Linked DNA regions of Neodiprion lecontei. The protein of the gene in region 2 purifies or fractionates together with the protein of the main gene of each other region. This does not show direct contact. Links are inferred from orthologs where the notes say so. Each region holds a gene or a part of one and is shown on either strand. Other genes may lie near its edges.

Evidence for each region.
Region 1: the proteins of protein patched (region 2) and sonic hedgehog protein A purify together in Drosophila melanogaster (affinity purification with western blotting; 3 studies listed by BioGRID). This does not show direct contact. The link is inferred for Neodiprion lecontei from reciprocal best matches to the Drosophila melanogaster genes ptc and hh.

The regions. Positions count from the first base shown.
Region 1 is NC_060262.1:29,608,607-29,613,537, reverse strand, and holds the start of sonic hedgehog protein A, read right to left. Parts: upstream 3,035-4,931; 5' UTR 2,060-3,034; coding exon 1,718-2,059; intron 1-1,717.
Region 2 is NC_060260.1:39,196,859-39,201,789, forward strand, and holds the start of protein patched, read right to left. Parts: upstream 3,181-4,931; 5' UTR 2,159-3,180; coding exon 1,937-2,158; intron 1-1,936. UniProt on the Drosophila melanogaster protein: Segmentation polarity protein. Acts as a receptor for the hedgehog protein (hh). Associates with the smoothened protein (SMO) to transduce the hedgehog signal leading to the activation of wingless, decapentaplegic and patched itself.

The DNA of each region.
Region 1 (4,931 bases), on a different chromosome or scaffold from region 2:
TCCGACTAAAAAGACACTGCGATCTTAAGCGATGTCACTTCTCACAAGCAAGTGACAACCACTTAACGACACTTTCTAGCATCAATGCTCGTCGTGGGGTTCAATCCTTGCTACAACATCAGATCCATATCAATCCATACATTGATTGAAGCCCGAAGGGCAAGCGAGAAGGTTGCTTCGATGCGGTGAGAAGTGAGGATTGTTCATCGAGACCAAGCTGGAATGTTCGATTCATTGGAACTGAGTGCCGATCCTCAAAGGGTCGAGGGAAGAGGCTTGAAGTCAATTACGAGATACAAAACGCGGCGGTCTCGCGACGCTATTTGGACTAGGATAGGGTCTTCGTGACACGATCGAAATCGAGAAAAGTACGAGGTTGGTGAATTTATCTACCGTATAATTGGAGAAGCGTCAAGGCGTCAAATGAAACACTGGTTATGGCTACCATAAACCTTTCCACAATCACTTAGGGACTCGGTATAGTTTTTCCCCCATTTATTCCTCGCTTAGCGTGCGATCTTCGCCGTTCTCTTAACTCGTATAAAAATTTAAGTTGGGCCTCAGGCTTACGTCGACCCAGCTAGACAACTTCGACTAGGTTAACTCAATCCACATTGCCCTAGGACTGTGCAGCGTCGCTTCTTATTAGCACATATGAAATCTAAGCATCCGTCTGCGCCGGTGAAAAAAAATTCATACGTCACCTATCGTGAGCATTATGTATACACAGTGATATCTCAGCGATGTGTCAGACATCTCGCGACGCAGGTTGCAGTCTTCCGTGTTTGCGGATTCTATTAACGTTGCGAAAATATGTCATATTCCGTAATATTTTTATCAATATACGACAGTGACGGATAGACCAAGAAATTACAAACTACGCAATTTCTTGGTAAGTACAGCCTCACCGTTTCGAAAGTTTTACAGCCTAAGCGCTTGATCATTATTTGTACCGGGATAAATATTTAAAAGCAATAAATTTCCAAGTATAACCTTTAGCACGGAAACTAAGACTTCTCGCTGTACGGATAGCAAATTACTTTTAGCTGTATTAGCGAATGTTTTACAAGTGCAGGTAATTCCTCCAACTGATCAAACAACTTTTAACTGGAACTACATAATTCTTGCTAATAGAGGAAAAAACTTTTATCGCCATGATATTAACACCTTTCCTGCTGTTTCAGCGAATCCTTTCTGTCGTGTGTACAAGCGCAATTAGTGTTCGAGTGAATTTTAAACCATTTACAACTACAAGTAAGGGGGTTTACCTCGAGTCAAGTGTGAATTTTTAAGTGCTATGTATTACGTGCAAGAATGGTTAATATTTGCCTAGTATCGTTGCATCGAAGATACGCGCCCGGCGCCGGTCAACGTTCACCCGCACTACGACGATAACCATGATGCCTTTTGCGGAAGAAAGAAAACATACGACGTTATAATATGCTCTACAGAACGCTGTTCCTCGTAACTACCGATGCTTAGACACATATACATTAATATGAAATTATATCTTTGCAATGACGCGAGTACACCAAACAGCGGCCAGGAATTATCTATCTACCGGTTGACGCGACGGATTTGACGTCGCCGAGACCGACCACGTGTGCCCGGATGCCGTGGTTGCAACGACGATTACACGTTACAGCTGCAGGTCCAACCGTATATCGCACCGTTTACAATTCGACACGGATATGGGTAAATCGGTTTGAATATTCACCTGAGTCATGAGGCGATCGGCACCAGTGCCTTCCTCGTCCTTGAAGATTATGTCCTGGTTGTAGTTGGGCACCAGGTCGCGAAATCTGGTGTCGTGTCTGGACACGCGACCCTCGCTAAGTCCACTGGCGGGCAAAGTGTTCTCACTGACGTTTGGCACATGTTGTTTAAATACAAGCGGCGTCAACTTCCGGGGACGTATCCGTCGGTTGCTACCCCTTCCGGGGCCGCAGCCCTCGGCGAGGCCGGTGCCCAAGGAAGGAAGCCAGAACGATAGCAGTACCAAGCACACCAATATCCACCGCAGCTCGAATCTTGTCCTCGCGATCTTAGCGTTCACCATAATATCTTCCCGACCCAGTGCGATAGGGTCAGTCCGTCGTTGGTGTGACCCAGCTTCGGTGCGATCCCGACCCAGTCCGCCTCTTTCGTCTCGCCTCACTGCGTAGTAGCCATAACCAGGGCATCACACCCTGCGCCTCGTGGACGTCGCGAATTGAGCAACCGGCAACCGGGTCACCGCGAACTGTCACCGCGTTCGCCGATTGGCACCAAGGGGTGGCGAACGACGGTGGATCCGGAAGCGGGAGGGCACACCGTTTACCAGAATAACACTGTGGTCACACCTGTCACTGTAACGATAAATCACGTCTGCTTCTCTGCACCGCGTTCGGTACCGACTACGTCGTCACGAACCGATCGCCTGCCATTTATCCAGTTCGCGGGTTGCTCCGCTGAAATTCGCGCGCAAGATACGGAAATCGAGGCGGATACTACAAGGCCCGAGATCGATCAATCACACGGCACTTTTACCGACAATTAACTGCGGTCTTCTTAATTCTTTACTCTGAGTTTTCCCTTAAGTCGATGTGTCTCGGTATGTATACAGTAATTATCGATCCAGGCCGTAAGTGCCAGATTCGCGCCGTGAATCGGTACGTTATATCGGCTCGGATCGGTTATTACAAGCGGTATGTAAGGACAAGGAAAATTCGCGAATAATAATTATTTCCGAGCTTTAACCGGGTGGACGAACATCGTGCAATTTCGTTAACGTGTAACTGACGTTATGGATTCAACGGGTGTTCGCAAGTTGGCGGTTGGCGCACGTCGTGAATTTGTAATCGTGGTGCGTATCGAACAGCCCGACAACTGTCAAAACTGTGACAACGTGGATCTGGGGTCCTGGATTGACTGCCGCTTTCCCGACGAACCGTGGTGGGAAATGTCCCGTGGTGCGTTTGGTGTTCCCTGGGTGCCACGGACGGACCAAACCGGGTTCTCGCCTCCTCCCCCACCCTGCCGCCCGCCGGAGACCGGCGACGTCGCTGACTCCTGGTGGACTTCCCCCTTCCACCCGCCCTGAGCGATCGCCAGGTGTGACGTCACGCCCGCGGTTTGCTCCACGATTGGCCGGGGCGGGGCGAGCCAGGTAAACGAGGACAGGTGTACAACAGGAATACACACCGAGGAACGGTCCTCTCTCCTCTCCTGGTTCGCGCCGGCCGCACGGTCCCTCCGCTCATACAGAGATCGCTCTCCTCGGTCCGTCCGCCTCCAGAGTCCCGTGTGTCGTCCGGGTTATCGGCGTATCGCTCCCTCTTTCTCTCTCTCTCTCTCTCCTCTCCGCTTCTCTCCCTGACAATCCTCAACCCGGTCCAAACCGAACGCGGCTCCTTCCCGCTCAACGACTCGCCAAGTCTGAGTCTCAACCCCCCGAGAAACCGAACTGCGTCGGATACTTTCAACCTCTGAAAGGAAGCACTGGCTATCTTCGCCGAGGATGTCTTCTCCACCGACCGTTTGTTGCCGGAGTTATCTCTCGGGAACAGCTGAGTGAAGTCGTTCCGGACCCTTTGGCCCTTACCTTAACACCCTCACCTCCACCTCTCATATCCTTCTGTCACCGACACTTTTCGATCGTTCCTTTTTAACTTCTCGTTTTCGGTTTTATTTCTCGTTCAACGTCAGTCGTTTTCGATGCAGCGATTAATTCGAATGTTCTATCATGTCGACTTCATCCTGCACATAGACTTGTTCTGAACACTGATTAGTTGGATTTGGTTTTTACTGTAAATTGTTTCACAGTTAACGATATTACGTCAGGCATACCTGTATCTAATACTTCATAAGCATTCTTTCTAAGCTTTGCACTCTCTCCGAAATGACGAAATGATACCATTAGCGAGAAACGATGCAGTTACGCAATATTTTACTGCTTATCATAACTCTGTGCATAGCAAGCAGTTGGCTATCTTCTGTGTAAACAAGAAGTGCTCGTCTGAAGTATTCCGATCTTGTAAAAAAATTGGACCGTCGATTGACTGACCTTAGGATGAAATCAAAAAAAGAATCAGCAAATCATGTACATAGTTTGAACGGTACAGGCATGAAGTCTGCAGTTCCATTCAAGAGTTGATCCGATTACCTGCCGCACAACGATGTGTATTTTTGGGTACAATTAATAACCTATTACACCCTAAAATATATGCTCTGAACACGAGGAATTAACCGTAGGAACAACGAACGTTTCAGGTGGGTGATTCGCCTTGTATTGTAAATCGGCGGGCTTTTCAACTGGTCGTTTAAGCAGAGAAGTGCTGTGCGCCACCGATGGCAGCCGGAAAGCTACTGATGCCTCTGATAGCTCCTAGCCTTGCTAACCGCGCCGTGAGCGTTGCTAGTTTCTTGGGCTTACTGATAATAAACACCGTTCCATTACCCACGATTTATCCCTCTAACCGTGTCCAGTCATGTAGCGTATTTGGTGTGCAGGCACAGTGTGTACACAACACACCCACATGCCGCATTTCCTTGCAGCTCTATCACTTCTACGATAACTGGTATATTGCAAGTCCACTCCATCCTCACACGTGCCTCTACCCGAGGTGCGTTCAACGTGCGTATCTACCTGGGCATCGGGCATATGTTTCACCGAATGGACTGTTGGCTTCTCATGCTTCCTACATCCTTCGCGTCGCAATATCTTATCAGCAAAACGTTATGGTCAGGGTCTCCGTTTGGTGTGTCGTCGTCAGGGGCAGTGATGCCACTGTTACCTCATGATTCGAGATCAGGAAAAATGGACTTTCCCAGAACTGTGTGAAAGAGGACTTTCCTTTCTAGGTCACAACCGATTCTTAACCGATCTGCGGATGACAGTTGTGTAATGTATAATACTGTCGGCAATGTTGGCCACAGTTTCCGCGAATATA
Region 2 (4,931 bases):
CGTTCTCCAAAATTTGTGATAAGAATTTACGGTTTGGAAACAATTCAATATTTTATTGACAACCCTTGTTCAAACGTTGTCATTTGTCTGAAACTAAAAACAAGCTAAAATAAAAGGAAGACTTTTTTCTAAACCGACTTGTTAGATACCATTAAATTTTATCGCAAATTGACCAAAAATGTTACATTGCGCAAATGCTAGTTTCTTAAAAGATTTTTTTCCTATCTCGTTAGGTCGGTAATCGATAACAGATTACGTGGCACATGCGCAGAGACTCTTGATGACCGTAGGAGGGAACGGCTAGTGGGATTCTTCGTATATATTATTAGTACTTATATACTATAGTGTATGTATGCCGCACACGATGGCGGCACCTTTAATCTTACGCGCTGCACATTCAGGACTCCGAAGACGATGCGACGCGACGCGACGCGACGTGAGAGCTGAAGACGAAGACGAAGGTGACGCTCGGTGGGACCGGACGGTACGGGATGCAACTGACAAGTGCGACCATTCTATACCAGAGTATCCGTATGTAGGTACTACGTCCGTCTCTTTACACATGCGTGAACCATATGTACATATACCATGCGCATACGTACGTACATGGTTTATGTAGTTAAACCGCGATTGCGCATCGCGTCAATATATTCAAACATGTTCATAAATCGTGCTTTTATACTTTACGTATGACGCATACTATGTAAGTACTTTCTCTTGGCCACGTTACGCGTAACCACGTGGTTGTGCTTGCGCATGGAGACATTGGTATAAGTATAGTTTACCTATAAAGGTGCGACAGTTAATCAAGTTCGTAAACTGCAAGGCGTTATTATTACACATACGCGAGGAGCATTAAATCAGGTTATAAACGGTTCGCCGTTTTCTGATGGGTTAGCATATAACGATGCCAATTGCGTCGTTGTTCGTTTGGAAGCTTGCTTTTACCCGAGCTTTTATCTCTTTGTAGATTAAACTATGATGAATATACATATGGATATGGCGGGAAAGGATATCAGGAGATTTTTTTATATCCCAATTTAATTGTCTGTATTTGTACTATCGTAATCATGGTTGGTACAGTCCAGTATGCAGAACAATTGCTTATCACGAAAATTATGATTCCATCTTTCAGCTAACGCTCTGAGCCGTGGGGGGCGCTGCTGGTTATGCAGAACCAGGAAGTCGAGAGAGCTGAAGATCGAGAGAGGAGAATGGCGAGAAAGCTGGTGCTAGAGGTCGAGGGCTGACCCTTCCCAGTTGCAATGGACTCATTTTTCGATTCTCCGTGTAGCGTCAACTATGTCGTACGGAAAGAGTCAGGCATAATCCTCGACTGTCGGACAAATACTGCTACTTATAATGTAGATATAACACAATTTCAGGAAATCGTGATATAGTTCTTCCTATATATCAGTTTGAAAGTAAATTTAGAGAATAACAAGAAGAAAAGAAGAGTAAACCAAGTGAAGGAAAAAATGTGAATGAGTCTCATATCACAAAGAAGTCTTTATGTAAAAGGCCATGAATTTTCGCTGGGTGCATACCAATCCGTGTGGTAAGGTATCACGATTTCGAAAGACCCGTAAAAGCTTTTGAAAAGGTCTGGGAAACCTCTACGCTGGTCTGCGATTGAAATTGACTTAGGTCACGGACGACGAGGTGGAGAAGGAGGAGCAGTATTATGATTCGTGCTGCCCGTTGAGTTTTCAAAGTGGAATGTACAGTTATATTCGGGCCCGTTTCAAAGTTCCGATTTCCGCTCCGCTGAATTTTTAGTGCAAACTTGAACAACAGAATCTCCTCGCACGATTGAATCAGGATTGCATGTTTGGTTTCGGAGATACTTTTGAGAGGACCATCGAGAGTAAAACTAATCAGATACCCTAGAGTTTCACGGTTCTGAAATATCAAAATTTCTTCTCCATCTTCTTACCTTCTCGAGCTGATCCAAAGCGATCGCGGCATCGGTCCAGCTGGGCCTGACGTAAAGGTCGGTTTCGTGCCTGTGTCTGGTACTTCCGGTGTACCTCGCATTCGAGGAGGGTTGGTCAAGGTCTGTTTCGCGGTCGGTTTGGGACGGCGCGGGCCCGTGTAACCGTTCAGAACCGGAAGGGTGGTCCGCTAGGATCCCCGTTGGACCGGACGGAGCGACCATGGTCTGCAACGCATCTGCCCTCTCGAAAACTCGCTCCCGGTTTATCCGCGTTTCACAGTAACCTACTTCCGGCTCTCCGGGCCCCGACTAAATGCGGGAAAAAAAATCCTCGTCATATCCGTCACCCGGATTTAATAAATGGGCGTCAAACTAACTGTCGGAGAACTACCGCAGCTTGAAGCCGCCTCCTGCCCCTACAACCCTGTCAAACACTCGCGCACAATTTTACGTGCGATCAGTCGCACCACCGAATATACATATATTCAAGTGTAAAACTGCAAACTGCTCGAATCCTCACACTGACGATCGACGCACGCACTCCGTCACGTTTGGGACCCGCGAAACTTGGTCGGTAAACACAGACTGGGCCCGGTCCCCTGCTCCTGATTTCGATGCCGTCAACCCGAGTCAGCACCGCCTCGTTTCTCGTTTCTCCCCTCTTTCGTTCCTTCCTTCCTTCCGTCCTTCCCCTTTTACGGGAGTATTTACTACGCTGGAGTTCGTCAGACGGAGGCCGGTTTGATACACGAGACGATCGGCGACGATTTCACGCCGCGCGTCTACCGCGAGGAATAGACAATTCGCGTTCCTGGTATAAGGTTGCACTCTTCGTTAAGCCTCGCGCTTTCATTCCTCATTCGTAACTCGTATAACCCCTACGGTTAGCACCTTACTCGGTTTGATCTTCTTTTTTCTGGATCGAGGACGAGGCTTCGAGAACGAATGCTGGGTGCGTATCGCGTGTAGCTTGCGCGTAACGATCTAAAACGTGTTCGTTTAATCTTTTGTTTTTCTTTTTCCTTTCCTCTTTCAACTTCTGCTCATTACTATCACGCTGATATTGGCGGTTCTGGTTTCAATTTCAAACTATCGTTCAGTCGTTGCGGCTATTGTTGTTCTACTGTCACTGCACCGATCCTCGCAGACGACTATTCGGCAAGCGCTGCGAACCAAGCCTTGTACTCCTTCTTCTCTCGCTAACTTAACCGCGACCGGCACTTCGAACGGTCCAAGTCCGTACTAACCGACTCACAGTCCCACATTTCTCTTCTGGCCCCCGAGTCGCAGTCCCTCTCTTTTCCGCTATCCCTACCTCTCTATCGCTCTCGCTCTATCACTTATTCCCCTCACCTCTCGCCCCTGCCAGCCGGCAGCCATGCCGCATCATCCCTCCCGCTCCCTTTCTCCCGGTTCCTTCCCTCTCCAACAACGCTGCATCTTTCTCGCGCTCGTCAGCAGGACCGGTACAACTATCAAAGGGCACCGTGGGTACTCGGATCATTCAGCGAGATGGACGATATAGTATTTCGATCTGTGTAAAGAGAATATTGTTTTTTTCCCGGCAATTTTCAAAAGACGTCCAGTTACTTCCGCAATTTATGCCGATGGTATAATTTACTCCGAAATAGAAAATTTCTTGATTCTGCACTTTCACATTTTTTATCATCCTGTACGTACGAAGTGGTAATTTCAAGTTAATTAATTTTAACCAGAAGACGAAATTACACACCAAGTGGCTAAAAGAATTCACGTGACTTTGGTCCATTTGCAGTCACATTGAAAATTTTGGACCAATAAGAAGTGGTATATTATACCTACATCTTCGGGTACCAAAATTGCCAGACGAGAAAAAAAAAAAAACAGAAAAAGAGGGATAAAAAGTATTCACAAGTGTTCCGCATTCACGAATGGCTAGTTACGTACCTGGGACACCAGTGACGTCAGAGTCGAGTTCAACCGAGCGTAGCCGAGATCGAATCGGGTGTTTTCCGATTGGTCCAAACTGAACGCGGCGTCACCGGTTGCCAGGCAACGCTCAGCGCTTTGAGCGCAATATGCGCTGGTCACAGTGGCGGCGGCTGGCGCTCGGTGCGCGCGGCGCGGCGGGGTGCCCGAACGTAGAGGAGAGGACGGGGTGAGGGGAAATTCGGACCACACACGCGGTACCATTTCCCCTCGAGCAAAAACATTACACACTTGCGAGCGCGCGCGCGTTCGTGCAGGGTACCAACGTACGCACGCACGCACGCACGCGCCGGATCCCAGCCTTGGACGTGTGCGTGCGCACTACCGTCGTGTCTAAGTCGAATTCGGGTGTTGCCTATGCGCCTGTGTGATACCCTATCACTTAGAGTTGAAAAACTGCACTCTATGCGTGCTCGAGTCGCACCTCTGGCTCGGTGAATCACCGTTGAAAGCATCCTCTTCCCTCGTTATGCTTATGTGGAAATTTCAGGCTATAATATCTACTCACGCTCAGTGCGCATCACCGGGTTGTCCCGATCGGTCTCGGCCACACAGAATGACACTTTTCAGGGCTTAAATTTGATTTGGTACAGAATATGCTGCGCGCAGGGTCGGATTTTTACACCAATCTTGCTTGAGTTCACTGCTCTGGCACTTTACCGTGAAATCCGTTAAAAAACACGCGTGATCTATTTTCACGCATGTCAACGTTTATCTTACTAGCTGAAAACTTTTACTCCTATATAATGGATGTTTGAGTATTTTTAAACTCTGGTCCAACAGTTTTGCTACTTCTTTTCTTAAATAATTTTACATTCGATGCATTGTTGTTGACAATTAGATTTGAAACAAAATTTCAAGGGTAATTCATACTTTTTAACCGTTTGGGGAGAACTCACGTCACAACTAAAAAATACTTAAATCTTATCGGATAATGAGAAGAACGAAATAAACGCAGACCAGATTAGGTCGAGTTCGACGTGATAACAACGTTTCTACATTTCAAAGAAATTGAATTTGATCAAAA